Mus musculus: one gene and its partners. The protein of the gene in region 3 purifies or fractionates together with the protein of the main gene of each other region. This does not show direct contact. Links are inferred from orthologs where the notes say so. Each region holds a gene or a part of one and is shown on either strand. Other genes may lie near its edges. The genes, in order: Nat14, Pxmp2, Pex19 and Faf2.

Region 1 (7,358 bases), on a different chromosome or scaffold from region 3:
CCCCCCCAGGGGAGACCAGCAGAGCTGACACCAAGGTTCTGGTCTCTGATGCCTACTTGCAGCCCCGTAGCCCGCCTGAGCCTCCAGCCCCACCACCCCAGCCCCCACCCGTGGTGCCCGAGCTTTTTTTGGCTGCTGCTGAGACTACAGTGGAGCTAGTGTACCGCTGCGATGGCTGCGAGCAGGGCTTCAGCAGCGAGGAGCTCCTCCTGGAGCACCAGCCATGCCCGGGGCCCCCTGTAGCCACCCAGTCCCAGGATGTGCCTGCCGAGCTGCCCCAGGCTGACTCCGCCCTACCACAGCCCCCACCTGCCACTCCAGGCCCTCCTAACTTTGCTTGTCTTCCTTGTGGGAAGTCCTTCCGGACGGTGGCTGGCCTGTCCCGTCACCAGCACAGCCATGGTGCGGCCAGTGGACAGGCCTTTCGCTGTGGCAGCTGTGATGGTGCCTTCCCACAACTGGCCAGCCTCTTGGCTCACCAGCAGTGTCACGTGGAGGAGGCGGCAGCCGGACGCCCACCTCCCCAGGCTGAGGTTGCGGAGGTCACCTGTCCCCAGGAACCTGTAGCCCCAGCCACTCCTGCCCCACCCCCTCCTCCTCCACCTGCCCCGGTGGTTTCTGCAGAGCGGCCCTACAAATGTGCCGAGTGTGGGAAGGCCTTCAAGGGTTCTTCCGGGCTGCGCTACCACCTTCGGGACCACACAGGTGAGCGGCCCTACCAGTGTGGGGAGTGCGGCAAAGCCTTCAAACGCTCCTCCCTGCTGGCCATCCACCAGCGTGTGCACACAGGCCTGCGAGCCTTCACCTGCGGCCAGTGTGGCCTCACCTTCAAGTGGTCGTCCCACTATCAGTACCATCTGCGACTTCACTCGGGTGAGCGGCCCTATGCCTGCACTGAGTGTGGCAAAGCCTTCCGTAACACTTCGTGCCTGCGGCGCCACCGGCATGTGCACACCGGTGAGCGGCCCCACTCATGTAGTGTGTGTGGCAAGAGCTTCGCACAGACGTCCAACTTGCGGCAGCACCAGCGGGTGCACACGGGCGAGCGCCCCTTCCGTTGCCCGCTCTGCCCCAAGACCTTCACACACTCCTCCAACCTGCTGCTGCACCAGCGCACTCATTCTGCCGAGCGCCCTTTTGCCTGCCCCATTTGTGGCCGTGGCTTTGTTATGGCTGCCTACCTGCAGCGGCATCTGAGGACGCACACCCCAGCCACCACAACTTCGGGCACCACCGGCTCTGCTGTAGCATCGCAGCCCCCTGCCCCATTGGCTGCAGCTCCAACTCCACTGGCTGCTCAAGATGTTCACGTACTCCCTAACCTACAGGCCACACTTTCACTTGAAGTAGCTGGGGGAACAGCCCAGCCTACGCCCCCAGGCCCGGCTGCTCCCAGTTCTCAAACATTTCTCCTGGTACAGACTGCCCAGGGCCTCCAGCTGATTCCAAGCAGTGTCCAATCCCCTACTCCTCCACCCCCGCCTCCACCCCCTAAAGTCATTCTGCTGCCTCCTGCCAGTGCTGGAGGTCCGGGCAGTGGTGCTGCAAGGCCAGGCCCTCGGTCTGTTGGGAAAGCTGGACAGGGGACAGGGGTGGTGTGGTTTCCAGGCCCAGGTGGTCTGGGGCTGCAAGGAGGGGCCAATGCAGGGGCTAGCGGGGGAGGGCAGAGCCTCATTGTTCTGCAGAATGTAGGGAGTGGGGAGACAGGACCACAGGAAGTGAGTGGGGTCCAGCTTCAGCCAGCACAGGAAGTGGCCACGGTACAACTACAGCCTGCACAGGAAGTGACTACAGTCCAGCTACAACCAGCACAGGAGGTGACTACGGTCCAGCTCCAGCCCCTGACAGGCCAAGTCTCCAATTCTAATGGAGGAGCTGGCACTACAGAAGCTCCAAACCTGCTGCTGGTTCAGAGTGGGGCAACTGAAGAGTTGCTGACCGGCCCTGGGCCCGGGGAAGTGGGAGACAGTGAGGCCGGTGCTGGTGTGGTCCAGGACGTCCTGTTTGAGACACTGCAGACAGATGAGGGGCTGCAGAGTGTGCTGGTGCTGAGTGGGGCGGATGGTGAGCAGACTAGGCTCTGCGTGCAGGAGGTGGAAACGCTTTCCCCCGGTCTGGCGGAGCCAGCGGCCACTGGCCCATCAGGACAGAAACTCCTTATCATTCGTAGCGCCCCAGCTACTGATCTGCTAGAAAATAGCAGCGTTGCAGGAGGCACCACAACACTGCAACTCCTGGCCCCGTCAGCACCTGGCCCGGTCTCTGCCCCTGTGGGGGTGCCCGTAGCTCCCCCGTCCCAGATGGTACAAGTGGTCCCCGCAGTGGCTGGACCAGGGGTCATGGCTCCCCAGAACTTGCCCTCCATCCAGATTGTGCAGACTCTTCCTGCAGTCCAACTGGTACACACGTTTTGAAGAGACCCCCTCCCCGCAATTAACTGTTCTCCTCAGCTGGGCTGGGGTCAGCCCCAGAGTCAGGGGGGCTGCTGGCTGGACTTGCTAATAAAGACCCAGAATCTCTTCCTGGTTTTGTTTTCATGGGGGAGGTATAGTCATGGGCATAGCCCCTGCTTCAGACCTGGAAGTCTTCATTCTTGCTTCCCGGATCTGAGGTGACTTGCTTTGTACTTGGAGGGCTAAATGCTTCTCCGGGGTGGGGTCCAGCTCCCCCATCCTTTAAACTGTTAAGGCTTTTACTGTGCTGGGGGTGGGAGGGCGGGTACACTTGCAGAGGACAGAGAGACAGTGGGAGTCAGTCATGTGGGTTTCCTTTTGGCAAGCTCTCTTACTCCCTGAGCTATTTCTCTGGTCCTTTCCCAACCTTTGTATGTATTCGTCTGTAGTTGTACTTATAGCAGGGAGGGTTAGGGATCAATTTCTGGATTTTCCACTTCTTTCCTATAAACCACCCTTACCTCACCTGAAAGGTAGGTAGAGGAATATTATTAATTCAAACGATACCCCAGGTGCCTCCGGGTTGAGAATAAGGTCTCAGCTGATGGGGATGCTTGATGCTACCCCTCATCCCTTCCCTCAAAGACCCAAGCGCCAATGAGATTAGGTTCACAAGCAACGCCTCCTCTTCCTGATGCTCAGGTCGCTTAGCAACGAAGGACCAGCAAGAAAGGAGCTGTGCTAATCCTCCCAGGCAGGCCGGGTAAGAAACCCTCTCTGTCCCCCACTCCCATCCCCCCTTCTCCAAGGTTCTCCCACTGGCCTCCAGCAGGTCACAGCTCTTCCCTCGTCCTCGCAGTTTCCTCCATTACTCCCAACCCCTGCCCCATAGTGGGGGAAGCTTGGCAACAGTTGCTAAGGTGCCGGTCTTGCCTCCAGTCGGGAGCGTGGACGTCACTTCCGGTGGTGACCCTCTCCTGCCCCTGCCCCCCTTCTCCCTTACTGTCAAGGGATTCGAGCAACCCCGTGGAGGTGCCTTTCAGGGCCCTGTTTCTGCTATGTGGGGTGGGACCACTTCAGGAGACCGGCTGCTGGAGTTTGGATAGGGGATGAGTTTACAGGCAGATCAATGAATGTCTTCTCCGGAGTGGGGGACGATTCGGGACGATTTTCAGAGCCCCACTGGGTATGGAGGCACCTGGCCTGCCACTGTGACAGTCTTCTTTGGCAATGCTCTAGGGTCCTTGGCGATCTGGGAAACACTGCGGCCCATCCCTCCCAGGGCTCTTAGAACTCAGGTGCCCACCTAACACCAACCTACTTGTTTTCAGCAGGTGTACAACGTCAGCTCCCTTGGGGAGGGGCCTGCCTGGGGGCTACCATGGCCCCTAACCACCTGTCAGTGCGGGAAATGAGGGAAGATGAGAAGCCCCTGGTGCTGGAGATGCTGAAGGTGAGAGGCCGGCAGGGGCACCAGTGAGCATGCGCAGCTTCTTAGGGCCATTCAAAGTGGGTTCCATCAGCCCCGCCCACCTGCCTGAGCTCCGGGGGTCCTGGGGGAGGGGATTTTCGCCTCAGCTGTTTTTAATTGGTCTCTTTTCTCTACTGCCTTCTCCCTACTTAAACCTCAGCTGCCATTTTTAAAAAAGCAATTGAAAGGGTGTAGGGGCTGGGTGTTCAGGTCTCTTGACCTCCATTCAGCCCCACTTACCAGTCCCAAAATGAGGGCTACTGAGACACACACACACCCCAGACCTTCCAGCGAAGAGCCCATGTCTTCACTTTGCCTATCCTGTTCAGTCTCCTTTGGTGCGTTACCTTAGCATGCCATCCGGACTCATGGGCCTCAGGTCCTAAATCAGTTCATTTCATTCGGGCAAACCGCATTCATTCGCTCAGCCCTTAACACCCAATGGGCCAGACTGGGACCACCCCATCCGCTGGCTTCTCTTCTCACTTGAGAAGAGAAATCCTTCCTCGGAAGTTCTTATGTGATGAATGGCTGAGCCTCTACTCCCACCCACAGGCTGGTGTAAAAGACACGGAAAACCGTGTGGCCCTCCACGCTCTGACACGACCTCCAGCCCTTCTCCTCCTGGCTGCAGCCAGCAGCGGACTGCGCTTCATCCTGGCCTCCTTCGCCCTGGCCCTCCTGCTGCCCGTGTTTCTGGCTGTAGCCGCTGTGAAGCTGGGTTTGCGAGCCCGATGGGGCTCTCTGCCTCCACCAGGCGGCCTGGGAGGGCCCTGGGTGGCTGTCCGTGGCTCCGGCGATGTGTGTGGAGTCCTGGCTCTGGCCCCTGGTGCCAACGTGGGGGATGGAGCCCGAGTCACCCGCCTCTCTGTCTCTCGATGGCACCGTCGCAGGGGCGTGGGCAGAAGGCTGCTGGCCTTTGCCGAGGCTCGAGCCCGAGCATGGGCTGGAAGTATGGGGGAGCCTCGGGCCCGGCTCGTGGTCCCAGTGGCTGTAGCCGCTTGGGGGGTGGCAGGGTTATTGGAGGCCTGTGGCTACCAGGCAGAGGGAGGCTGGGGCTGCATGGGCTATATGCTGGTTAGGGAATTCAGCAAAGACCTGTGATTAGAGACCATGCCCACTGGATAGATGGGCAGAGAACCAGCACCTAAAGAACACCTACTGTGTGCCAGGCACTTTACATCCCCCCCTCAGTGTCTACCTAGTCTGCTGGGCTGATAGTGAAGCACCGAGGTTGATGGACTTACATTCCCAGTGTGCCTGCCAGCTGCAATGAGGACTCTAAACTCAAGTAGAACAAATCCCTTCTTGGTCTTCTGGGACCACTAGAGGTCACCGTGTCCAGTCCTTTGCCTCACCCCCACTGCCCCAGTCTGTATGCACTGAAAAACGTCGGGTTCTGGGTCTACAAAGCCCCTGCTGCCTGTGTTTGAGGTCTGGAAGGGAGATTTGAGGAAAGAGAGAGAGAGAGAGAGAGAGAGAGAGAGAGAGAGAGAGAGAGAGAGAGAGAGAGAGAGAGAGAGACTAAAAGTTAGAGTCTGTGACAGGGAACTCCCAAAGGGGACAGATCTTCTGGGAGTGGGTGGGGCCAGGAGCACAGTGTCTCCAAGCCCATCTGGTTTTTTACACTGTTTGTTAATAAACCCTGAAACTTCTGTGTGCCTGTCTCCTGTCTGATGCATTTTCCAGCTGCTCTCTCCAGACTCCCTCCTTCTGTCTGGCTCCTCCTCTCCGAAGAAGTTGACATTAATTGCTAGGGAAGTGTGTGTGTTGGGGGGGGGGGGGGGGCGCTGGGAAGAGGAGAAGCAGTGAGCTCACAGCGGCAGCCAGTCTTTGCCAGGCCTTCTGAGTCATGCTCCCCATTACCAAAGTTTTCCCCCTCACAGCTGCCTGGTGTGTGTGTGTGTGTGTGTGTGTGTGTGTGTGTGTGTGTACCCCCTCCAGACCGAAGCCTTGACCCCTCAGTCTCTCTACCCTCCATACCTTTGTTCTGGGAACTGGTAATAAGTTCAGACACTCTTTTCTCGAATCGGCACTGGGAGCTTCCCATCCAGATTTACCACAGTGGGTGACAAATGGACAGGAGTTTTTCAGTTTCTTTTCCTGATCTAGGAAGTCCCTCCTAGTATCTGGCTTCAGGCCCTCATGCTACTGCAGGATTCCCCAAAATCTGTCCACTCCCAGCTGCACTTACTTGCCTGGCTGGACAATAAGAGGAGGCAGAAGGGTGTGCCCTCAGCCCTGTCCCCCAGACACCCAGGCCTGCCCCTTCCCAGAGCTGCCATCCCCATAAGCATCTCTGAGCACGTGGCCCTCTGGAGCCTGGCTGGCCGCCTCCCTCCAGTGTGGGTGTTTGCACTTGAACACCTCCCTTCTGCCTGCCCCCCGCACCCCCCCCTCCAGCCTCAGCTGTGGCCAGCCCCCTCCCCCTCCTGTCCCCTGCTGCATCCCTGCAGCCTCTCTCCCTCCTGGCAGAGCCTTCAGCCCAGCCTGCTCCTAGCTGTCCAGGGCTCCTCAGCAGCTGCTTCCCTCCCTGGCTGCCTCCTCCTCCCCTCTCCTGCCCTCCTTCCCCTTTCACCCCATCCCCTGCCCCTGGACTCTGCGAACATGAGGGGCTTGGCCTGCCTCCTTGGTGAGTGATCCATTTCCTTGGGGGGGGGGGTAAGCACCTTAGGGGCCTGGACCCTTACCTCTGACCCAGTTAGCTTCTCCAGTTTAGGGGCTCATACTTGAGGGAGCCTGTTCTGGTCCCTGGTGCAGTGTGATATCCTGACATCTGGCTGGCCCCTCTAATCCCTGAGGGACCCAGCCTTCTGCACGTCCTGCCTAGCAGCTCAAGTGACCTGCCCTTTGTTGCCCTGTCATGTACTCTGTAGCGCTATCACTCCCACCATTCAATCTGGTCCCCAGTCCTGTTTTCAAGGGTCAGGCATCTGGGGCCCCACCCACCCCAGGGACCTGTAACTTATCCCAGCCTCCTCCCAAAGTCCATTCCAGCAGTGGGGTTTCTGACTCAGAGGTGTGAGGAATCTGACTGTGAATGGGTGCTTCCCACTGTACTGAGGCTGGGAGCCTGCACTGGGGAAAGGACCCCTCCCCTCTGATTTATCCTTCACTCTGTCCCCTCCAACCTCCTTTGCAGCAATGCTGGTGGGGATCCAGGCTATAGGTAAGTGTCCTGATTCTACACTTGGCCTCACCCCGCTCCAACTCCCCCCCTCTCCTTCTGGTCTCTGCTACCCCAATTCCACTCCCCAGACATTGCTGCCATCCAACAGGGACAATGAGTCTTCTCTAGAGTTAGCTGCACGCTGACCTATGGGAGAGGACCAAAGTTATGAGGCCAGTGATGGGGAGAGGAGTGGAAAGGTTATTTGACCCCCTTGTGGGGCAGAAGGACCGGGGATGCCTGAATTCCCTGGTTCACAGTGTCCTTCCACACAGCCCCCAGCATCTCTGAGACATTCCTCTCATTGCACCTGGGAGTCTGGGAC
Region 2 (7,331 bases), on a different chromosome or scaffold from region 3:
GGAGCCTCTTGACGCTGGCCCAGGGAACCTCAGGAGGGACCGAGTATTCCATGAAGAGGTAGAGGTAGTGACTCAGTGGACCTGTGACAAACAACCTGGACGCCACAGGCGTGTGAGCTGCACAAGGGTTTGAGCATCACTGTGGTTCTTTCTACATTTCCATCTCTGGTCCTCACACCAAGATTCACCTTAAGCCCTAAGCCCTCTTTTCTTCCCCCAAAGTATTTACTGACCACACAGATTTATAAAGATATTCTAGGGGGAGGGAAAAAACTTTTTTTTTTTTTTGAGTTTTTCGAGACAGGGTATCTCTGTATAGCTCTGGCTGCCCTGGAACTCACTTTGTAGACCAGGCTGGCCTCAAACTCAGAAATCTGCCTGTCTCTGCTTCCCGAGTGCTGGGATTAAAGGCGTGTGCCACCATGCCCGGCTAAAAACTTTCAGTCAGTTTCAGCAAGTCTTTTTGCCCAAAAAGACTGAAGTGACTTCTGCCAGTTCTTCCATTTGGTGAGCAGGGACAGCCACAATGATGGCCCTGGCTGAGGTATATGCTCATCTGCCTCCTCTGTGTTCCAGGCATTTATGCCATCTGTCCTCATCTGTGCCCTCCTGATTTAACAGGTTCTGAGAAACAGACAAACATAGCTCAGCTCCCAGAGATTTCTATCAAGCTTTAAAAAAAAAAAAAAAAGATTTATTTATTTTCTTCATATGAGTACACTGTAGCTGTCTAAAGAGGGCATCAGATCCCATTATAAGTGGTTGTGAGCCTCTATGTGGTTGCTGGGAATTGAACTCAGGACCTCTGGAAGAGCAGTCCATGCTCTTAACCACTGAGCCATCTCTCCAGCCCTTTCATCAAGCTTTTAGGGGAAACTGGCAAGAGAAAACCTGGTTATCACCTCTGACTTCCCTAAAGCGCTGATCTCTAGTCCACACTTGGTTCACCTGGGAATGAGCCAAGTCCAGCAGATTGAGTTTCACAAAGTACAGTAATATAGGGAAGGGCAGGAACCCGGGTCTTTCAATTCTACCAAAGTCTATAAACAAGGTTTTCAATTGAACTTTCTTTTGGCCACAGTAAGGCAAACAAGGGAAGTCTTTGGGAGGCCAAGATCAGGTGAGAGGTGTTAAAGTACCTTAGCTGATCTTCTTACTTGCCAAAGTATGGGGGATGTGGCTTTTTAAACATTTTAATAAATGGCCCAAGTTATTATTCTTGGAAGCTTTTGTGGAGTTTGGAGTGAATCTCAGTTGGTAGAGTACTTCCCAAGTATGCAAGAGTACTTTGCAAGTAGGCAAAACAAACAAACAATCCTGGGTTTCATTCCCATCATTGAAAAAAAAAAAACCCAAAAAACAAACAAACAAAAAACCCACAAAAGGCCGGGTGTGGTGGTACACGCCTTTAATTCCAGCACTCGGGAGGCAGGCGGATTTCTGAGTTTGAGGCCAGCCTAGTTTACAAAGTGAGTTCCAGGACAGTCAGGGCTATACAGATATGGTGGTGCACATCTATAATCCTAGCACTCAGGAGGCAAGGGGATCAACAGAGTCCAAAGGATATATGAGGTTCGGACTCTCTTTTATTTACACATGCATGCATATGCATGTGGGCACATACATGTGCTCGCACACATACACACACACACACACACCCAGGAATAGTCTTTCTGGTTATTTATTTATTTACTTATTTATTTTGGCTTAAGACAGGGTCTCACTGTGTAGCTCTGGTTGACCTGAAACTCACCACTGAGACCAGGATGGCTTCCCAAGTACTGAGATTAAAGGCATGCACTACCACACCCAACTAAATAATGATGATACGTGAGGTCAGTGGTAACCTATACAAAGCCTTGGGTTTAATTCTAATGCCACACATCCACACAAAGTTTGTGTCTTTGTTTGTTTTGGAGACAGGGTTTATCTGTGTTAGCCCTGGCTGTCCTGGAACTCACTCTGTAGACCAGGCTGGCCTCGAACTCAGAAATCCGCCTGCCTCTGCCTCCTGAGTGCTGGGATTAAAGGCGTGCACCACCACGCCCAGCTTCTCTGATGCTTCTTAAACAATTATTTTTTTCTTTTTTTTAATTAAATTTTTTGCTTTCTATTTCTTGTACATGGATATTTTGCTTGCAGGTATATCTCTGTGTACCATATATGTGTCTGGGGCCTTACGAGGTCAGAAGTCATCAGACCTCCTGGAACTGGAGTTACAGAAGGTTATGAACTGCATGGGAGCTGGGAATCAAACCTGGGTCCTCCATAAGAGCAGTCAGCACTGCTAGCTTAGCCATCCTCCAGCCTCAGAATTAGGTTTTTTAAACCAACATATTCCGAAGGGCTAATGCTGGCAGGCAGATCTCTGTGGTACTTACCCATAAACTAAATATCTGAGAAGCCCACTGACTTCTAGATTTTGAGAGTCTTTTTTCCGCTTCTCAATCGTCTGGGCCAGAAGGTTTCCAAGGGCTGACAAAATGCCGCTGTAGAGGAAGAGACAATCAGAAAATGAGCAGCAGACACAAGAGCCTGTCCCGCATGGCAGTAGCACGGCTGCTGTAAGATCTTCCTGTGTAGAGCCGGGTGTGGTGGTGCACACCTTTAATCCCAGCACTCAGGAGGCAGAGGCAGGCGGATTTCTGAGTTAGAAGCCAGCCTTGTCTACAGAGTGAGTTCCAAGACAGCCAGAGCCATACAGAGAAACCCTGTCTCGAAAAACAAAAACAAAAAACAACCACCAACAACAAAAAAAGATCTTGCTGTGTAGATCATGGGATGAGTCCCTATTGAAGTAACTTGCTAAGTTAGGTAAAGCCCCAGAAGATAGAGGCACTATGACCTAAAGTGAAAACCACAGATGAGCACAGTGAGACATCCACCTGCGGGGCTGTGTGCCTTCCAACATCCCCACAGCTGCTCCATTGAAGGCATGGATGTAAAAGGCAATAGGAGGGATCCTCACAAGGACATGGTCTGTGGGCTGTATTTAAGCAAATAACTCTATGTTGTAGTTTTGTTTTGTTTTGTTTTGTTTGTTTGTTTGTGTTTTTTTTGTTTTTTTGTTTTGTTTTTGAGACAGGGTTTTTCTGTATACCCCTGGCTGTCCTGGAACTCACTTTGTAGACCAGGCTAGCCTCGAACTCAAAAATCTGCCTGCCTCTGCCTCCCGAGTGCTGGGATTAAAGGCTTGTGCCACCACGCCTGGCTCTTAGTTTCTTTTTATGTTGCAAAATGAACAAAAACCAAACCAAACAAAAAATGAGACAAAGGCAACTTAAGAGAACAATGGCTTATTTCAGCTCCCAGTTAAAGGTTCAAGTCCATCAAGGCAGAGAAGTGAAGGCAACAGGAGGTTGAAGGATCTCCTCACAGCACACCCACAATGAAAAGAGAGAGAAAACGCGTGCGGTTCAGCTAGCTCACTTTTTCCACTTCCAGTCAGACACCAACTAGGAATGGTGGCGCCCCTAGTGGGCAGATCTTCCCAGCTCAAAGAAGATAATCAAGATAAGCCCCTCAGGCATGCTTAATTCCTAAATGTTATCAAGTTGACAACTAGCTTTAACCACCACAGCTGTCTTCTAAAAAGCTATAAATCCAAAACTTTTAGTATGGATCATAAGGACCCTCTTGACTTGACCCCTGGTTACCTCTTCCTATCTACTCTCCCTGGTCATTTTCTCCACCAGAGTCCTTCTCTTCACCCCTCCGACATTCTCTGAATTCTTCCCCCAGAACTTTTACACTTACTGTGCCCTGTAAACAACCGCTTCTCTTCTCTGTGCTTCTGACCAACGTCAACAACCCAGGAGAAATTTCCCTAACTGCTCTAAGTTATACATTTATCTGCCTTTTGCGGGGGTGGGGTGGGGTGGGGTGGGAAGATGGACTCGTTCTTCTTAGCTCCGAGAGAAGTCTATGCGCCTGTTCTGATCACAGCTATGTGCCCGCGCACAGGAAGCACTCTGCACACACTTATGGAAAAGCTAAGTTAATACAGAACCTACAAAATGCACTAATGGAAATGAACAGAAACAGGGATATCTCGTTAGGAAACCGAACGATGTAATTCAAAGGGCAGAGTTCACCAGCGACCGTGCCTGGGTTGCTCAGGGTTAGAATGTGTCCCTGACTCGCGGGTCTTCACAACACTCAGACTGCAAAGGCTAACTAATGCTTGGGACCCAACACACAAACAGCACTTACTGGCTAAGCAGAACGGGGTCGCACCTTAAGGAAGAACTCTGCCTTCCTCCACAGCAGTGGTTCTCAACCTTCTTATCGCTGTGACCCTTTAATAATACAGTTAGCTCCTCATGGTGTGGTCACCCCAACCATAAAATTACTTTCACTGCTACTTCTAAACTGTAATGCTGCTACTGTTGTGAATCATAACGTAAATATCTGATATACAGGATATCTGATACGTGACCCCCTGTACAAAGGTCGTTCAACCTTTAAGGGGTTCCCGACGTACAGGCTGAGATCCACTGCTGCTCGGGCAATATCTGAGCTGCTTGGTCTGCAGACGCCCCCTCTCTTAACCTCCCCTGCAGGAGAGTCTCCCCTGTCGGCACCCCTCCTTTTCACCCCACTTCCCAGTAGGCGCCCACCTGCTGACTGCTTTGGTGAGCACCGGGTAGAGCTTTAGGAGCAGCAAGTATTGGGCGAGCGCTCGCTTGGGAAGCGACCCGAGCTCGGATTCCACCCGCAGCCTGGACGCCGCAGGTGCCATCGCGGTCCGGATGTCTAAGTCGCCCCGGGCGCCCACCCAACAGCTAGGCAGTCGGGCACCCGGCCCGGGACACAGGGCACAGGGCGGGGACGGCCTGACATTTTCTGCCCTTCCTCCGCCCTCAGCGAGCCCGGCCGTCCCGCCACGCGCGCGGCCAGCTAGTGCACTCTTTTCCCCCGGTCCCTGCGACCCACCCTCTGCGCTCGCCGGAGGATTGGAGAGCCGAGGGGCGGGGCGGGGCGGGGCGGGGCGATGGGGGCGGGCCCCGGCTAGGTCCATCTGAGGCCGCGCCTTCTCATTGGCCGAAGCCGTAGCCTCGCGAGAGCACGTGGAGAGCGCGCCAAATTCTCCCCGGAGCCTGAGGGAGCTTTGGAGCGTCGCAATGGTCCTGAGGAACAGTGGACGGAGGCACCCCGAGCCGGGCGCGGATGGCGAAGGCAGCCGGTGAGAGCCGGTGTCCTGCTGCCAAGGCGCTGGCGGTAGCCGCGGCCGGAGCAAGCTTGGGCGGGCGCGGTGTCCGGGGGTTCAGGGGTGGGGAAAACAGCGGGCCCGGCGCGCGGCGCGGAGGACAGGGCGGGCTCCCGTCTTCGCCCTGTGTGGTTTCCGTAGTTTTTATTGAGATGCTAAACTCAACTCCGTGGCCCAGGCTGCTTCTCTAGAAATATCTGTGCCTGCCCTGTGACTTGACTAGGGGTGAACATCTATTCTCATCAGACAAGAAGGGAACGGGGAAAGTAAAGGAAGATTCTGTCTAGACCAGCTCGGCGAAGTAAACCAATTTATTAAACCAAAAGCCGAAACCCTTACGCATCACATCAGCAAGAGATTCTAGAGTATGGTGACAAAGGAAACTGATGTGGATATCGTATATAGAGATTGGTGACACTGTGGCAGAATAAGACTCTGTATCAGGGGCTGGTGAGATGGCTCAGTGGGTAAGAGCACCCGAGTGTTCTTCTGAAGGTCCAGAGTTCAAATCCCAGCAACCACATGGTGGCTCACAACCATCCGTAACAAGATCTGACTCCCTCTTCTGGAGTGTCTGAAGACAGCTACAGTGTATTTACATATAATAATAAATAAATCTTAAAAAAAAAAAAAAGACTGTGTATCAGAATGTGAGCACTCATTGAGTGGAAGCCCGGTTAGAGCTGAATAGTGATAGTGTTTTCCTATTATATGTGAAGCTCTGGGTTTGCTGTACAACACCTGCATAGCAGCCAGGGTAATTGACCTGGACCAGTAAGCGGTTCTTCAGTGACAGGTTCCTGAGAGAGTGATGGCCAGGGGGATGAGGAGGAGATGGAGAAGATAAGAGCATTCAGGATCAGGAGGTGTCACACAGAGTGATGGCTCATGCAAGCAAGTTTATTAGGAAGTACAGCATCTTTTTTTTTTTTTGATGTATTTACTTATTTTATGTATGTGAGTACTCTGTAGTTGTCCTGTCTTAAGACACACCAGTCAGATCACATTGTAAATGGTTGTGAACCACCATGTGGTTGCTGGGAATTGAACTCAGGACCTTTGGAAGAGCAGTCAGTGCTCTTAACCACTAAGCCATCTCTCCAGCCCCAAGCCATTTCTTCAAGCCCCCAAGTACAGTGTCTTACATAGAGGTTTTGTACCTCTATGGAAAGGTGGGTGGGACAGTGTCATAGAGCAGGTAGCAGCCTTGGGACAGAAAACCATAGCCCCTTAAGGATGAGAAGAGATGATTTCTTAGGATCCGGATCCACAGCGCCCTCAAGGCCCTGGTTCTCAGGCTATTACTTGCTCTACCAAGCTCATTCCTGATTTAGAAAAAGGAGCTATGTTCTTTTTCATACATCCAAGCCTCAGTCTAACAGTAACAATAGTTACTGTGTTGACTTCTTCATGTCCATGATGCCATGGAAAGACACGTGAGGTGGGCAGTACTCATACTGTTATGTTCATGCTAGACTTCAGTTTAGAGATGAGAGATGTGAAGTACTTTATCTACATTTACAACTATTTGATGTGCATATATAAATATATATTTTACATATATTAGATTTTATGCATTATATAATTATGTTATTACATGTGGCATTGTATGTTGTATATATAATATATACTTTATATATTACATGTGTATATGTAGCTAGAAGTGCAATACAGAACCTCACATACTCTACCACTAGGACATATCATCAACTAAGGACGTGCCCTTAGTCATTCAACTTTGCCATGTACTTGAGCAGATGGAAAGTTGTTGCTGCATAAATAAATAAAACCTTTTAGAAACCTTTTGTTTTTAAGAATTTGGTTATATTCACACACATACCCTACTCCTCTCAATTCTTCCCATATATAACCTTTTCCAACTTAGAGACCATATATGTATGTATGTATGTATGTATGTATACACATGCACACACACACATATATATATTTAAATAACCCAATTTGTCCACCTGTGTACTCTTAGCAATAGCTTTTAGCTTATGCTTATGCTTTATGCCCCATGTGCTTTATGTGGATTGGCTCGTGAAATCGTTAAATCAGTCCTGTGAGGTGAGCATGTTTCCTTGAAGCTGTAGGTAGTGGTAAAGATTGGGCTTTATAT
Region 3 (7,507 bases):
CTGATGTTTTCTTCTGGCTTTCATGAGCGCCTGCACTTATGTCCACAAATGCACATACAACTGCACATAAATGCACAGCTGGAGACAGCTCCATTGGGAGGGTGTTGGCCTAGTATGGCAGGGTTCTGGACTTAGTTCCCAGTACGACATATGGCATTCGACCCCTTTCCTAAAAATAGATAAGTGCAGACATTTTATTTAGTTACTGGTGATTGAACCTGGGGTTTTGCACATGATAGGCAAGTATTCTACTATTGAGCTCTCTATAGCCACAGGAAAAAGATGTTCAAAATATGTATTGGTTTCTTTGTGTTTCTTTATACAGCTTCTCCTACAGCCTCGACTGGCCTTGAACTGACCTTGAATTTTTAATCTTCCAGTCTCCCAGCTCCTTAGTGCTGAAATTACTTGAATTTTTCATTTTAATCCATTTTAAATCCTTTCCTTTTTCTTTTCTTTTTCTTTCTTTTTTTAAATTAATTTATTTATTTGTAATATGTAAGTACACTGTAGCTGTCTTCAGACACTCAAGAAGAGGGAGTCAGATCTCGTTATGAGCCACCATGTGGTTGCTGGGATTTGAACTCAGGACCTTTGGAAGAGCAATCAGTCGGTGCTCTTAACACTGAGCCATCTCACCAGCCCCTTTCTTTTTTCAACTGATAATATATCCGTGAAGTTCAGACACCAGTCTTTAGACCTTTACTGTCAGGCCAGTGACATGGCGTAGGAAGTAAGGGCACTTGGAGGTCATGACTGACAACCTGAGTTTGATCATGGAGATCCGCATGGTGGGAGGAGAGAACTTGCTCCCCAGGGCAGCACATGACCTCCACACAAGCATCATCGTGTGTAGGCACCATTCCACCTATACACTCACAATTACTGCCCAGTGGTGGTGGCACACGCCTTTAATCCCAGCGCTAGGGAGGCAGAGGCCAACTGATGTCTGAGTATGAGGCAGCCTGGTCTACAGAATGAGTTCTAGGACAACCAGGGCTACACAGAGAAACCCTGTCTCAGAGGAAAAAAAATCAAAACAAACCCAAAAAACTAACTGCCTTGTGTATCTTTTTCCTGAGCCACTCAGTTCCTATTAGTTTTCCCCAAACAGGTAACTACTTACCAGTTTCCTTATGGCCTTCAAAAAGTATATATTTATAAGTATATCACTGTGTTTTTCCCCACCTTCCTTTTATACATGGCAGGAACATAATCTTTTTTTTTTTTTAATTCAAGACATTTTAAAGTTTTATATGTGTGTTGTGTGTTTAGGTTTTCCTCATAGTATCTGGGTTATTTATGCTGATTATCAGCATTGCTGCAATGAGTAAACTGGAACATACATTGTGTGTGTGTGTGGGGGGGGGGGAGTGTGCCTGACTGAGGAGGAAAAGCTGCTCCAAAGAGCACAGGACTTTAGTGTTTTCAGATTTAAGAGTTGCTTTCTTAAATATAATCCTCAAACTAAGACTGCTTTCTCAAAAATGTGTATATTACGGGAATATTTTCTTAAGTTTTATACATTCTTCCTTCAAGGTCAGGCAAGAATCTGGCACAGCAATTCACAGCCATAATTCGGATTCTTGGAAGGTTAAAGCAGAACAATTGGCTAAAGAGCAAGATGCTGTCTCAAAAAAAAAAAAAAAAGATATCATGGTGGTTAAAGAGATGGCTTAGCTGTTTAGAGCAAAGACTGTTCTTGCAGAGGACTCAGGTTAGTTCCCAGCACCCACATCTGGTGGCTGCCAACCACCTATTGCTCTAGCTCCAAAGGGATTTGCCACTTCTTGCCAGCTGAATAGAAAAGAGAGACAGGTGTGGTGGTACACGCATTTAATGCCACCACCCTCGAGGCAGAGTCAAGAGTATTTTTTTCGTTCAAGGCCAGCCTGGTCTACAGAGTTCCAGGAAAGCCAAGGCTACATACAGAACATTCTCGATAAAACAAAAACAAGACAATCCCCCCAACACACAAAGAAAACTGAAAGAAATGATTCAAAGAAAGAATGCTTGTTTTTTAATCTGCTTAAGTAACATCTGTGTTTCCAATTCTATCTCCAGTCAACCTCTACAGGTAGGACCATCCCTGATCCACTTGTAGATTTCACTGTGCTCAGCACGATTGTATACAACAGTAGATGCTCATTATACGCTAAAAATAAATTGGATGATCTTTGTTTATCTGTTTTGTGTATATGTCAAGGAGCATATTCGGAGGTCAGAGCCAGCACATGATAGACATCTCTCCTACCACGTGTGCTTTGAGGATGAAACCAAGGTTGCTTCAATTTGGCAATCCTGTCTCAAGCGAAAAATTGCTCGTTTAATAGCTTCGTATTTTAGCTGAGCCCTGTGCTGTAATCTCTGTCCTTGGGAGGTGGAGACAGTAGGATTAGAAAACCCTGCCTGAAAACAAAACCCAGATTAAAGATTCCAGGTTAAAGATGGGGCAAGCAAAACGCAATAAACCCTCCCACCCCTTCTGACCCGCCCCCACAATACAGCTGGGCCTCATGGGTCAAGTAGTTTGGAAGTGGAGACGGGGAAGGGAGACCCCGATTTCTGGACCAGCTTGAGCAATCTATCTAGTTCAAGGCAAACCGCTGTGGCTCTGTAGCTCCAGTAGCCGAGTGCTTGCTTAATACGTGCAAGAACCTAGGTTTGAGGCCCAACCCAAGAAAAAAAACAAAAACAAAAACAAACCCAGTCTCCTGTCCCTTTAAAAATGGCGGTCCTGCACGGTAGAACGATATTATTGGCTGCTCAAGTCATGGGGGCGGGGTTGGGGCGGGGCATGTGGTGGCGCCAGTGGTTCCACCTCCTACGGCAAGTCGGAGGCAGTAAGATGGCGGCTGCTGAGGAAGGTTGCGGTGTTGGGGTCGAAGACGACCGGGAACTGGAGGAGCTTCTGGAAAGTAAGAGTGCACGATGGGAAAGACCAGAAGTATCGGGGAGAGGATCCATCGTGGGGGTTAGAGGAACTTGAGGTTTCTGAGCGGGGCGGGAGAATCTCTTCAGTGGTCAGCGGGGGAGGTGGTCTGAGTTCGACCCCGGCCCTCTTTATTAGCTGGCTGTGTCCAAACCGCACATCTCCCTGCGAAGGGGAACACTAACCGTAAAGAGCTGTTTCACGAGCCCCTTACAAACTTCTCTTGCTTTCGATTGTCGGATTGTTGTTGAGGCAAGGCTCTCTCACTCGGTATCCCAGGCTGATCTGGAACTCGCGGCAGTCTTTCAGCCTCCGCCACTGGGAGTACAGAGATCACAGGCTGGACCCACCAGGATCGCCTTCTGTAAATTATTAAAATCGCCTCTCCTTTCAGTAGCAGGATTCACAGAACAAAATAATCTTTAAGCTCCAAAGGTCCATATGTCCATGATAGTATCTTTCTTAACCCGAAACGCCTTTTTACCGCACAGTCTTTCCTCATTCTTTTACCAGACCCTTAGTTCTTTCGTGCGAGTAGTCAAAGAAGTCTCCTTTTAAAATTAGTGTGATGTTGAGAGACTGTCTCGTGTAGTTTTAGGCTGACCTCACACTCATTGAGTACTGTAGAGTGGCCCTGAACTTGTGATTTTTCCAGTCCCTTCCTCCGCATTCTCGCATGGCACCACAATGCCTGACATCCCTTATTTATCCTTTGGAGAAAACAAAGTGAGCCAGCCCCAGGGGAAAAGGTCTCCTCTTCCTGAAAAGATGGTGGACCTTCATCTCTTTCTTGGCCTTGCACTCCACTCCCGTTTCCTGCGCCAGTGAGGCCAGTGCCCTTTCCCTAGTCCTGGCAGGCAGAGTGATGGTGACAACACAGGCTTTTCAGGGCAGAGGTGAACCTTTTATCTCTTGCTCAGTCACAGCGATATAAGCAGGTAGAAAATGAACAGATGAAGTGAGGAGTGCCCAGTGACTGGCCTGGCCCAGGCTTACTGCATATGAGGCCAAGGAGGCTATAGGTGCCTGTTAAGGGCGATCTAAATTGGAGCATTATTTAAGAGTTAATACCTTCTTGTCGAATGTATCCTAGTAGTCAGAACGGTGGAAAGCCGGGTGGTATATTCTGTGCTTCCTCAACAGACGATATTAGCTAAGGCCTCAGAGTGAATTCCAAGAAATAAGGCTCTCTCTCCCCTCTTCTTCATGTTAGATGAAATGTGTAGGTTTTTGTTTGTTTGGTTGGTTGGTTTGGTTTTTCAAGGCAGGGTTTCTCTGTGTAGCCTTGGCTGTCCTGGAACTCACTCTGTAGACCAGGCTGGCCTCGAACTCAGAAATCTGCCTGCCTCTGCCTCCTGAGTGCTGGGATTAAAGGCGTGCGCCACCACGACCCAGCAGGGTTTTTTTTTTTTTTTAAGGGAATTTTATAGTGTGCATATAGAGATTTCTTTGCACAGCTTTTATTTAATTCTCTCCTCCTAATTCTGAGATGAACACTGGTTCTGTGTAAAAGGGTTTCCTTCCCAACTGGTCACAACAAACTAGATGGTTCTCAAGGAAGGTGGGAAGCCTATTGGCCAGTAGTCCAGGCAGAAGAGACACCAGAAAAAGAGAGAGAAGTCCAGGAAAGCCAGCACTTTGTATCATTATTTTCCTAAGAGTTTGTTTCAAATCACACGGCTGTCTAGCCCTTTCCACCCTCAACATCGCCACCACGTCCGTCTCTTGTCTCCGAAGGTGCTCTTGATGATTTCTCTTGTCTCCGAAGGTGCTCTTGATGATTTCGACAAAGCCAAACCCTCCCCAGAACATGCTCCGACCATCTCGGCTCCCGACGCTTCAGGACCCCAGAAGAGAGCGCCAGGAGATACTGCCAAAGTATCAATTCCCCCACTTAAGGGAGAGGGAGGATGGCCATGCAGCTCAGAGCAGGGATGGGGGGCCCTCTGGGCCAGAGGGGTGGCTGAGAGGGTGCCTTTGCCTCACACTGCTGAGTGTTCTTCCAGGCCTCAGTTCCTATGAAACGAGGACCTGTGGTTTTACGGAGGGCTAACGAGGAAAGAGGAAAGAGCGGTTTTAAGTGGTTGGCTTTGTATGCTACCTCATATTAGACCTTCAGTGGCCAGTCTTTGCTGCCCTCCGGAGAAGAGGTAGATGGAATGTTCAGTGGAGGTGCTCGTGGGAGGGGAGATGTTTCATTTCCCAATATGAGCTCGTTTAAGCGGCTAGCCCCAGGGTGATGCTATAGGAGGCAAATGTTGTCTCCCTCCCCACCCCACCCCACCCTTGCAGGATGCTCTCTTCGCCTCCCAAGAGAAATTTTTCCAGGAACTGTTTGACAGTGAGCTGGCTTCCCAAGCTACTGCGGAGTTTGAGAAGGCAATGAAGGAGCTGGCTGAGGAAGAGCCCCATCTGGTGGAGCAGTTCCAGAAGCTCTCAGAGGCAGCTGGGAGAGTGGGTGAGGAAACCCCAAACATAATACTGGACAGGCCTCTTAACTGATTGAGAGTACCAGGATTGTAAAATTGATGACCATCATGATGTCACAGCCATGGCTGGGGGTGGGGGGGTGTAAGGCAAGAGAAAGAGCTGTGGGAATCTAGCTTACTAAAAGGAAAAAGGTAAGATATTTTGGAAAGTAATGAAAAAAGATTATTCCAGCCAGGTGTAGTGGCTTATTCAATCCCAGCACATCAGAAGCAGAGGTAGACGAATCTCTATGAGTTTGAGGCCAACATGATCTGCATGGTGAGTTTTACAACAGCTGGAACTACAGAGTGAGACCGTACCTCACAAATCCTCACAAATCAATACGATTCTCCCAAAGCAACCCTTTTAAAGGAGTGTTACTGTGGAGAACAGCTAACACAGTACCAATATAGATTCATGGCATGCCCGTGAAGGTAACTACAGAACAACTAAGATTTGGAAGTGGTAGTAGCTTGCTAGTAAATGCTCTCCATCCAGGCTGGTAACTAGATGGGTGTAGACAAGCTGACAGTGAGGATCCTAGCTAACCCTGGGTCTTTTGTCTCCCAGGCAGCGATGCAAGTTCTCAGCAAGAGTTTACTTCTTGCCTAAAGGAGACGTTAAGTGGCCTGGCCAAAAACGCCACTGAGCTGCAGGTAAGGGGGAAGGAGTGAGGGGAGGCCGCTCTCAGTGCTTCCTAAGCAGTCTCACAAAACAGATGCTGGGTGGGGAGGGGGCCTGGAGCCATGGCTCAGCAGTTAAGAACACTGGCTGATCTTCCAGAGGACTAGGGTTCAATTCCCAGCACCCACATGGCAGCTCACGCCTGTCTTATCACTCCAGTTCCAGGGCTTCTGACATTTTCACACATTTTCTGACAAATTTACACACAGTCAAAAAAGAAAAAAAAAACATAAATAAGATAAAACTTTAAAAAGTTTACTTTTTAAAGTTTTTAAAAAAGCTCTGCCGGGGGGTGGTGGTGGTGGTGGCGGTGGCGCACGCCTTTAATCCCAGCACTTGGGAGGCAGAGGCAGGCAGATTTCTGGGTTCAAGGCCAGCCTGGTCTACAGAGTGAGGTCCAGGACAGCCAGGGCTACACAGAGAAACCCTGTCTTGAAAACAACAACAACAACAACAAAAAGCTTTCTGATATCTCTCCCAAATCTGGCCCCCTTTGGTTTTTGTTACAGGCAAATTTAGATAGTTCTTTCCACCGGAAAAAGTGGTAAGCATTCAGGGAGGCAGGGTGCCTGTTCACCTCTCTTTCTCTTGTCTAGAACTCGGGCATGTCTGAAGAGGAGCTGATGAAAGCCATGGAAGGGCTGGGCATGGATGAGGGGGATGGGGAAGCGAGCATTCTCCCCATCATGCAGAGCATCATGCAGAACCTCCTGTCTAAGGATGTGCTGTACCCATCCCTGAAGGAGATCACAGAAAAGGTTCGTGAGTTTCCATTGCTGGCTTGAATCCTCACTTCAGTGTATCAGCTCGTGGGCCACTTTGCTGAGACGATGCATAGTAAAGGGGTAATTTGAATGGACAAGTACGGTTTTTTAAAACGCCTTGTTTGTCACAGTTGTTATTGAGAGTATTAAGCTGACCATCTGTCCACGCTGGGAATGTTTGAGCTAAAAGGGGAAATTTGCACTCTAGTTTTCTATAAATTAGTTCAAGACTTTGAGTTTGACTGATTCATTCTTTCTTATATATTTTTAAGCTTTATATATTTATTATATGTAAGTACACTGTAGCTGTCTTCAGACACACCAGAAGAGGGCATCTGATCTCATTACAGATGGTTGTGAGCCATCATGTGGTTGCTGGGATTTGAACTCTGGAAGAAAAGTCAGTGTTCTTAACCGCTGAGCCATCTCTCTAGCCCTCCTTCTTATATTCTTAACTTTACTAATTTCTCCAGTAGGGACTCACAGGATTTTGTGGTGGTGTTATGAACCGTTGGAGAGTGCTTTAAGCGGTGGTTCATGCTTAAAAGAGCTATAGCTTGACCAGAGAAATGAAGTTGAGAAATACAAGTTCTTCAGCCTCACGGGCAACATGTGACTGAAGAGCAAGACCAGGAGTCTGCAGCCCAGTGTTTGTGCA
Region 4 (6,800 bases), on a different chromosome or scaffold from region 3:
AAGAACTGGTAAAGAAAGTTATCAGAGTTCACTCACCTTTTTCTATACTAAAAATTGAACATTGTTTGCTTTCCTTGGGAAAATATGCATGGCATGTTTTACTAATTGTAATGCAATGTTGTCATCTAGGCAACTTCCTGTGAAGTGTATGTAAAACATCCCCCTTTGCCTCATAACCGTGTATGGACACCCAGAGTGTAAGAATGGGTGTGATACGGCATGGTAGCGTAGGCTCTTTAGGGATAGTGTATGGACCCATGAGACACTGCATCCTTAGGTCTAAAGTAGCCACCAGTGTTCCACATCTTGGTCAGCTTTATGACTCCTCCCATGGATGCCATCACTGTAAACATATCAAGCAAATATACACGCCCCTTTGAAGAACAAATACATTGTGACTAAGTCCAGGTTTGAAGTGAAGCCCCTGTTGATACTTGAGTAACTTGAGAGTAGGAGCTGAACAGTCAGAATCCCAGAAGAACATAAAGCAGGGGATGCTGGGAGGAGGAGATGCAGCAAGGGGTCGTCTATTCTGCAGCAGTGTTTGTCATTGCACCTTTTCTTTCTTTCTTTTCTTATTTTTTGATTAAGACACGTTCTTTGTCTGCATTATTTGGTGTGCAAATCACTGACCACATACGTCTGTTGAGCACTTGAGACATGGTAGGTGTGGCTCAGGCACTGAATTGTAATTGTGTTTAATTTAACGCATTTAAAACAGCCATAAATAGTTAGTCGCTGCCACGTTAGACAGTGTCTGGGGTTTGGATCTTTCTTGGTCAGCCCTGCACTGGAATGTCGCTGTCTAGTGGTGTGCAGTCTTCTTGAGCAGAGAGCGGACACTTGGCAGTGTCCTCAACTCTCCCTTGAGGGTTAATGGCCACTCACTCACCACTCACTTCCCCTGCTACCACCCTCTGGCTCTGTTAGAAAAGTCTGTACAAACTGGCCCACTCCATATGCGCTACAGTAAGCCAATTCATGTGATATTTATTCCTTCCTCCCCAGGTTTGCTCTTCGTTTTATACGGCCTGACCCTCGCAGCCGGGTCACTGACCCTGTTGGGGACATTGTTTCATTTATGCACTCTTTTGAAGAGAAATATGGGAGGGCACACCCTGTCTTCTACCAGGGAACGTACAGCCAGGTCAGTGCCACGAACCAAATAGATGCCAACGTACCAATATGATTCTGTCCTCAAAGGAAAGTGTAGCTTAGCTGTGATCATGTTGCTCTTACACTCACAAAAGACTTAACTAGTTCCTCACTGGTTAGAGAAATGTAAACAGAGGCAGGACCAAGCCTTTTCTCTAGCCTCCTGGTCTAGCCCCGTTCTTGTGATGTCCTTTCTGCATAGCTTGTTTCCATTCCCTAGATTCCCACCGCACCCCTCCCCGAACACTTCCCCTCAGTGCCTGCTCTTGCTGCTCCTCCCACAAGGAGTGTCCTCTATCATTTTGGCTAACGGGTGCCTTGCCTTCCGCACCCGTCCTTCACACCAGCTCGGGCTGTTCTGGCCACTCCATTCCTTCCCTATCGCACCCTACCTTGCTTTCTAAAGTACTGACCTTCCTTCTTTTTTGTTTTCCATCCTTCTGTTCTTAAATTTATAGCAATTTTACATTCCTCCTTACATGATTTGTGTTCATGTCTTTGCTGTGTTATCAGACTGTACACACCTTCAAGGCAAGAGCAGAATTTGTTTTGATCTCTTACAAACTGAATAGGATTTAGACCATAGGCTCAAGGCAGCTCATTTGATTCAAACCAAGCCACAAAGACCTTTCATTTTCTCCTTTTAGGGAGGAAAGCTGGATTTTAGGCATATGTAGTTTGCCAGAGAACAATAAAGAGCAGCACAGACATGTGTTAAAAGGTGGCTCTGTTGTGGAGTATCTGGAATTCCTGATTCTTATCTGGAGAGGGGGCAGCTCACTCTTGCTTCTGCTTTGTCTCACAGTTGATCTTCATGCTGGCTGCTGCTCCCCACTCGCAAACATCACACACCTACCTGCTGTACACAGTTAGATCCCCTGCTTGGGGCCGCAGAGAGTGAGGGTGAGGGAGACAGCAGTTCTTTGCGTGATCTTGAGGGTAGACTACATTAGCAATGCAGGGAATTACAGGCAGTTAGTCAGGAGTATACCATTCATACGTGACAAGATTCGTGACAAGACACTTGCTTTGTCTCAGATCTTCTGAACCCTGTGCTCTTTAGGAAACCTTTGGGTGCCCTAGTGCTTCCTGCTTGCCTGTGTTCTTGCTGGATCCCACTCATCTTTGCAGCTAATTTTTTATTAGCAAGAATTTTGAAGCTGCAAAATTGCTTTTACATAGTCACAGTGTCCTGCTTTACCTTTAAACCATGAGAACAGCTGACTTTCTGTGACTGTCAGGAATTATTTGAGTCACTTCTTACATCCTCATGTGCCCGATGCAGCGTAAATTCTAACAGCACGAAAGGCTTTGCGTTAAAGTTGTTGGCTTGGGCTTTATAAGGAGAAAGATGCCAGGGATAGATGTAAAGGTAGAAGCCTGGGAAGTACTTAGTTTCTTGCTTCCCCTTCAACCCCACTTCCCTCCCCTCTTTCTAGTTGCTAATGTTGATTAAAAGTTATGTTCATCTGAACCCTTAGCCTAAATAGTAGTTCCAGACCTTAGTAGTAGTAAGTCATGATCTTTTGTCTCTCTAAGGCACTTAACGATGCCAAGCGGGAACTTCGATTTCTTTTGGTTTATCTTCATGGAGATGACCACCAGGACTCTGATGAGTTCTGCCGGTAAGTAGATGAGTCATTTTCTTTCTTCTCTGACTTTTTTGCTGATGGTTTATAGTTGGCAAATTGCTCTCACAATGTTTTATCTTGTTCCACAGCAATGCTCTCTGCGCACCTGAGGTCATCTCACTGATAAACAGCAGGATGCTTTTCTGGGCTTGTTCTACAAACAAGCCTGAGGGGTACAGGGGTAAGTCGTGTTCCTCTGCCTTACTGAGAAGGTTAGAGTATCCTTGGGGAAGTCTGGAAAAGCATGCTGTTGCATTCCTGGGTGGTGGTTCTCTGATAGACATAATGCTAGTTGCAGTTTTTACTTTCTGTCATTTAACTTTGTCAACAGTCTGAGAGATAAAGGTTGTATTAATTCTTCTTTGAGATTAATGAAACAACAACAGAGACATTAAGACAGATCCAAGAGCATACAGTCAGCGTACGGTTGTGTTTGAGCAGAGCAAGTTTAAGGCCCATTCTTTACAGCTAACCATTGCCAGAGACTCTGATTTTCAGTCAGTCCTGCCCAGCAGCTCAGTTCTAATTTTAACAGGCTTTTGCTAGGCATTTGTCTTCTCTATCCAGGCTTTCAGCAGAACTCTGGTTAATGAGTCTTCTGTTGAGTGCTAGAGCGCAGACAGCCAATGCAGGGAGTTCAGTCTTTCTGGCAGCAACTCTTAGTCAGTGTTTTTAGAAATCATCAGAAGATACAAAGATCCCAGTGGTGAGAATACAGTCATTTTGTAGCCTCTTTGTCCAGCAACCTCTGTATATGCTAACACCTAGGCATTGGGTGCCTGGTGTTCAGAACTAAATATAATACAATGTAGCTGTTTCTCTTGCACCTTAGTTCTTAATCTTTACTCCTAATTGATTTGTAAACATGGGCTATATTCCTGCAGCCTGTGTTTTGCCATTCTAATGTGGCTCTGTGGGGCTAGCAGGTAGATTACACAAAGGATACTTTTTGTAAAGAGTTATAAAATTTCTTTCTTTATAACATAGGATGCAGGGGTCTGGAGAGATGGCTCAGCATTTATTCTATAGGTCCTGAGTTCAATTCCCAGCAACCACATGGTGGCTCACAACCATCTGTAATGGGATCTGATGCCCTCTTCTGGTGTGTCTGAAGACAGCAACAGTATACTCACACATACAATAATAAATAAATTAAAAAAAAAAAAGAACATAGATGCAATTACATCATAGTAAAATTTGTTTATTTACAGAACAACTTTCTTACTTGGAGCAGAAAGCTAACATTGTTAAGGGAAGAAAATGAGGGGTGGAAGGAATTGGATGAGGAGGAAAAGACAGGAAGTGTATGCGCTGTAAAACCATAGCCACCAGCATGCAGCTGAGAATTTCAGCCTTGTCCCCAGTGGCTTTGACTCTTAACATCTGGAGAAATTATACTTAAGTGTAACATGGCTCTTTATAGTGCCTTTTCCTTCCGTTCAGTAGACATTATCCTAGAACCTTGTTACCTTTTCAGCATAACAGCAGCTTACCAAGAAGCCTCACCCTGGTCTAAGCACTCGCCTCAGTTTAGGAATACAAACGTGACAGAAAACAATGAAGAGACCAGGCAGGGCTTATGAGATGGAATTTGAGTTTGGTTATCAAACACAGGGGAAAGAGAGAACCAACTCTAGAAAGCTGTCTTCTAATCTCTGCACTCATCTTTAGAGGAAAAAATACAGCAGAGGGGCTGGAGAGATGGCTCGGTGACGAAGGGCATGGGCTGCTTTTCCAGAGGACCCGCTTGGCGGCTCACAGCTGTCTGTAACTCAGATGCAGGGAATCTGAGCCTCCTCCAGTCTTCCTGGGCACCATGCATGCATGTGATGCACGTGTGCATGGAGACAAGTGCTGACGCACAGGAGACAGAAATAAATCTCTGAGGGTATTTCCATCAGTGTGTGCAAAGTCTAAGGACTGATGTGTTTCCTCCCAACTCTTACGCTTGATCTCTTGGGTCTTTGTGTCAGTGTCCCAGGCCTTACGGGAGAACACCTATCCATTCCTAGCTATGATTATGTTGAAGGATCGGCGAATGACTGTGGTTGGAAGGCTAGAAGGCCTCATTCAACCTGATGACCTCATCAACCAGCTGACATTCATCATGGATGCAAACCAGACTTACCTGGTGTCAGAACGTCTAGAAAGGTACTGGAGATGTGTGCTTGGAAAACGGACTGACTTGGGGCTCCACAGACTTCTTTCCTGTGTCTTGGGCACTTTAAAAGCCTTTGCTTCATGTTGAAGAATAGCTTGGGCCGGGCGGTGGTGGCGGCACACACCTTTAATCCCAGCACTTGGGAGGCAGAGGCAGGCGATTTCTGAGTTCGAGGCCAGCCTGGTCTACAGAGTGAGTTCCAGAACAGCCAGGGCTACACAGAGAAACCCTGCCTCGAAAAAACAAACAAACAAAAGAATAGCTTGGAATGCTGAACATAGAACTTAATGCGAAGAAGGTGGACTGATTATAGCTTTTCTCATTACATGGATTATGTACAGTAGTTACAGAAAAATTGAAATGGTAAAGTCAAAGAAGAAATTTTAAAGCATTCATAATTTTAGGGTGCTTCTAGATTTGTAGTCACTTGTGCACACTCTCTGCTTACTCTGAAGATAATAACAGAAAACAAACAAAAGGCCCATTTACCTTGTCATACTCAACACAGATCACATTTGGCACCAGATGTATAGGTGGTTTTTTCCACACACCAAGCAGATCAGTTGTGTAGCAGTGGACAACAGCTAGGTGTCTAGTTTATCAGTTCTGTTCCAACCTCTGCCCCTGAGGCAGCATCAGATCCCACTGGGTGGGAGCTCAAGCCCAAGGCTGTCGCTCACCTTCACTGCTTTCACCCTGCACTGCTTTACGTGTGGTTTTAGAACTGCAGACCAAGACGCCACAGCTTGTGCTCTGATGACTGGGCTCAGACAGTTTAGTAGACTTGGTTAGCACTTAGTTAGCTTCACTTGTTTCAACTCTCGGGAAGTTGTTTGAGTTCTGTTCCTCTGGGATCTCATCCAGATGTCATTGCAGGAGCATGGTGCACACATAAGCAGCCACTCCAGGGTAGCAAGGAGATGGCTGTCCATGGGGGCTTTCTGTGGGAGCTAAGACCTGAGCTTTGCTCCACAGCACCCCCATGAAAGCTAGGAGCAGCTGCCACACTGAGCAGAGCAGAGACAGGAGGGTCCCGAGCTCTGCAGGTCAGTCAGGCTAGTCAGTGAGCAGGCTGCAGGGTCACTGAGAAACTGCCTTAAATACAACGTGGGGAGCTGGGGATGGCTCAGCGGTTAGGATCCAAAGGACCCCAGCTCAGTTCCCAGCACTAAAGATGGGCAGTTCATAATTCCAGCTCTGGGAGATCCAACTCCTTCATGGGCACCTGAGTATATGTGTGTGTGTGCATATATGTATATATATATATTCTCATTCTCTCTCTCTCTATCTTTCTCCGATTCTTTCCTCTCACTCACAAACACACCAATTTTAAAAATAAGAATAACTTTTTTTTAAAGATTGAGGACCAACCAGCAAGATCACACTTAATTTCAGGTAGGAGGAGAGTACTGCCCTCCACATGTTGTGCGGCACGCTTACTCCTTCTTCAGTACCATGTACATTTGAATAAGTAAATGTAGAAGGAAACATGCTGGCCTCTGTCTGACCTCAGTGTGGACCACTGAGGTGCTGGAGTGCTTGGCTCTGAGTGGGACAGCTGTGGCCCTGCCTCGGGGCTCAGGGGTGTCAGGGAAGAGGAGCAGAAGGAGAGTAAGGCAGAGGATGAGCGAGTCACCACACTCAAAGCCCCCGCCCCTCCCTGAGGGACTATTGGCCATCAGTGGGGAGTAGTTGCCTTGTTTCTGTAAATAACGCCCAACTACCCTCTGCCACAGGCCACATATGGAAGGACAGAGTCAGGAGGAATGAAGGGGATGAGAGTGGATTGGAGTTGAAAATGACTAAAGTCCATTATCTAAATGCATGAGATTGTCAGACAGTAAGTGCAGGTC

Evidence for each region.
Region 1: the proteins of Pex19 (region 3) and Nat14 purify together in Homo sapiens (co-immunoprecipitation; 3 studies listed by BioGRID and IntAct, counting the BioPlex papers as one, with this or other methods). This does not show direct contact. The link is inferred for Mus musculus from reciprocal best matches to the Homo sapiens genes PEX19 and NAT14.
Region 2: the proteins of Pex19 (region 3) and Pxmp2 purify together in Homo sapiens (affinity purification with mass spectrometry; 3 studies listed by BioGRID and IntAct, counting the BioPlex papers as one, with this or other methods). This does not show direct contact. The link is inferred for Mus musculus from reciprocal best matches to the Homo sapiens genes PEX19 and PXMP2.
Region 4: the proteins of Pex19 (region 3) and Faf2 purify together in Homo sapiens (affinity purification with mass spectrometry; 4 studies listed by BioGRID and IntAct, counting the BioPlex papers as one, with this or other methods). This does not show direct contact. The link is inferred for Mus musculus from reciprocal best matches to the Homo sapiens genes PEX19 and FAF2.

What each region holds. Positions count from the first base shown.
Region 1 is NC_000073.6:4,919,484-4,926,841, forward strand, and holds Nat14 (N-acetyltransferase 14), read left to right. Parts: upstream 1-3,102; 5' UTR 3,103-3,156; intron 3,157-3,162; exon of another isoform or gene 3,163-3,579; intron 3,580-3,724; 5' UTR 3,725-3,774; coding exon 3,775-3,846; intron 3,847-4,419; coding exon 4,420-4,968; 3' UTR 4,969-5,523; downstream 5,524-7,358. Other genes in the region: Zfp628 (zinc finger protein 628), read left to right, coding at 1-2,414; soluble scavenger receptor cysteine-rich domain-containing protein SSC5D, read left to right, coding at 6,010-6,496, 7,007-7,033. UniProt on the Homo sapiens protein: Probable acetyltransferase. May act as a transcription factor that regulates the expression of coproporphyrinogen oxidase by binding to a promoter regulatory element.
Region 2 is NC_000071.6:110,281,265-110,288,595, forward strand, and holds the start of Pxmp2 (peroxisomal membrane protein 2), read right to left. Parts: upstream 4,905-7,331; 5' UTR 4,742-4,904; coding exon 4,620-4,741; intron 2,490-4,619; coding exon 2,382-2,489; intron 118-2,381; coding exon of another isoform or gene 96-117; coding exon 1-95. Other genes in the region: Pole (DNA polymerase epsilon catalytic subunit A), read left to right, coding at 5,124-5,185. UniProt on the Homo sapiens protein: Seems to be involved in pore-forming activity and may contribute to the unspecific permeability of the peroxisomal membrane.
Region 3 is NC_000067.6:172,123,931-172,131,437, forward strand, and holds the start of Pex19 (peroxisomal biogenesis factor 19), read left to right. Parts: upstream 1-2,824; 5' UTR 2,825-2,848; coding exon 2,849-2,918; intron 2,919-4,700; coding exon 4,701-4,810; intron 4,811-5,224; coding exon 5,225-5,390; intron 5,391-5,971; coding exon 5,972-6,057; intron 6,058-6,681; coding exon 6,682-6,843; intron 6,844-7,507. UniProt on the Homo sapiens protein: Necessary for early peroxisomal biogenesis. Acts both as a cytosolic chaperone and as an import receptor for peroxisomal membrane proteins (PMPs).
Region 4 is NC_000079.6:54,647,284-54,654,083, forward strand, and holds part of Faf2 (FAS-associated factor 2), read left to right. Parts: intron 1-1,008; coding exon 1,009-1,147; intron 1,148-2,694; coding exon 2,695-2,780; intron 2,781-2,875; coding exon 2,876-2,967; intron 2,968-4,759; coding exon 4,760-4,937; intron 4,938-6,800. UniProt on the Homo sapiens protein: Plays an important role in endoplasmic reticulum-associated degradation (ERAD) that mediates ubiquitin-dependent degradation of misfolded endoplasmic reticulum proteins.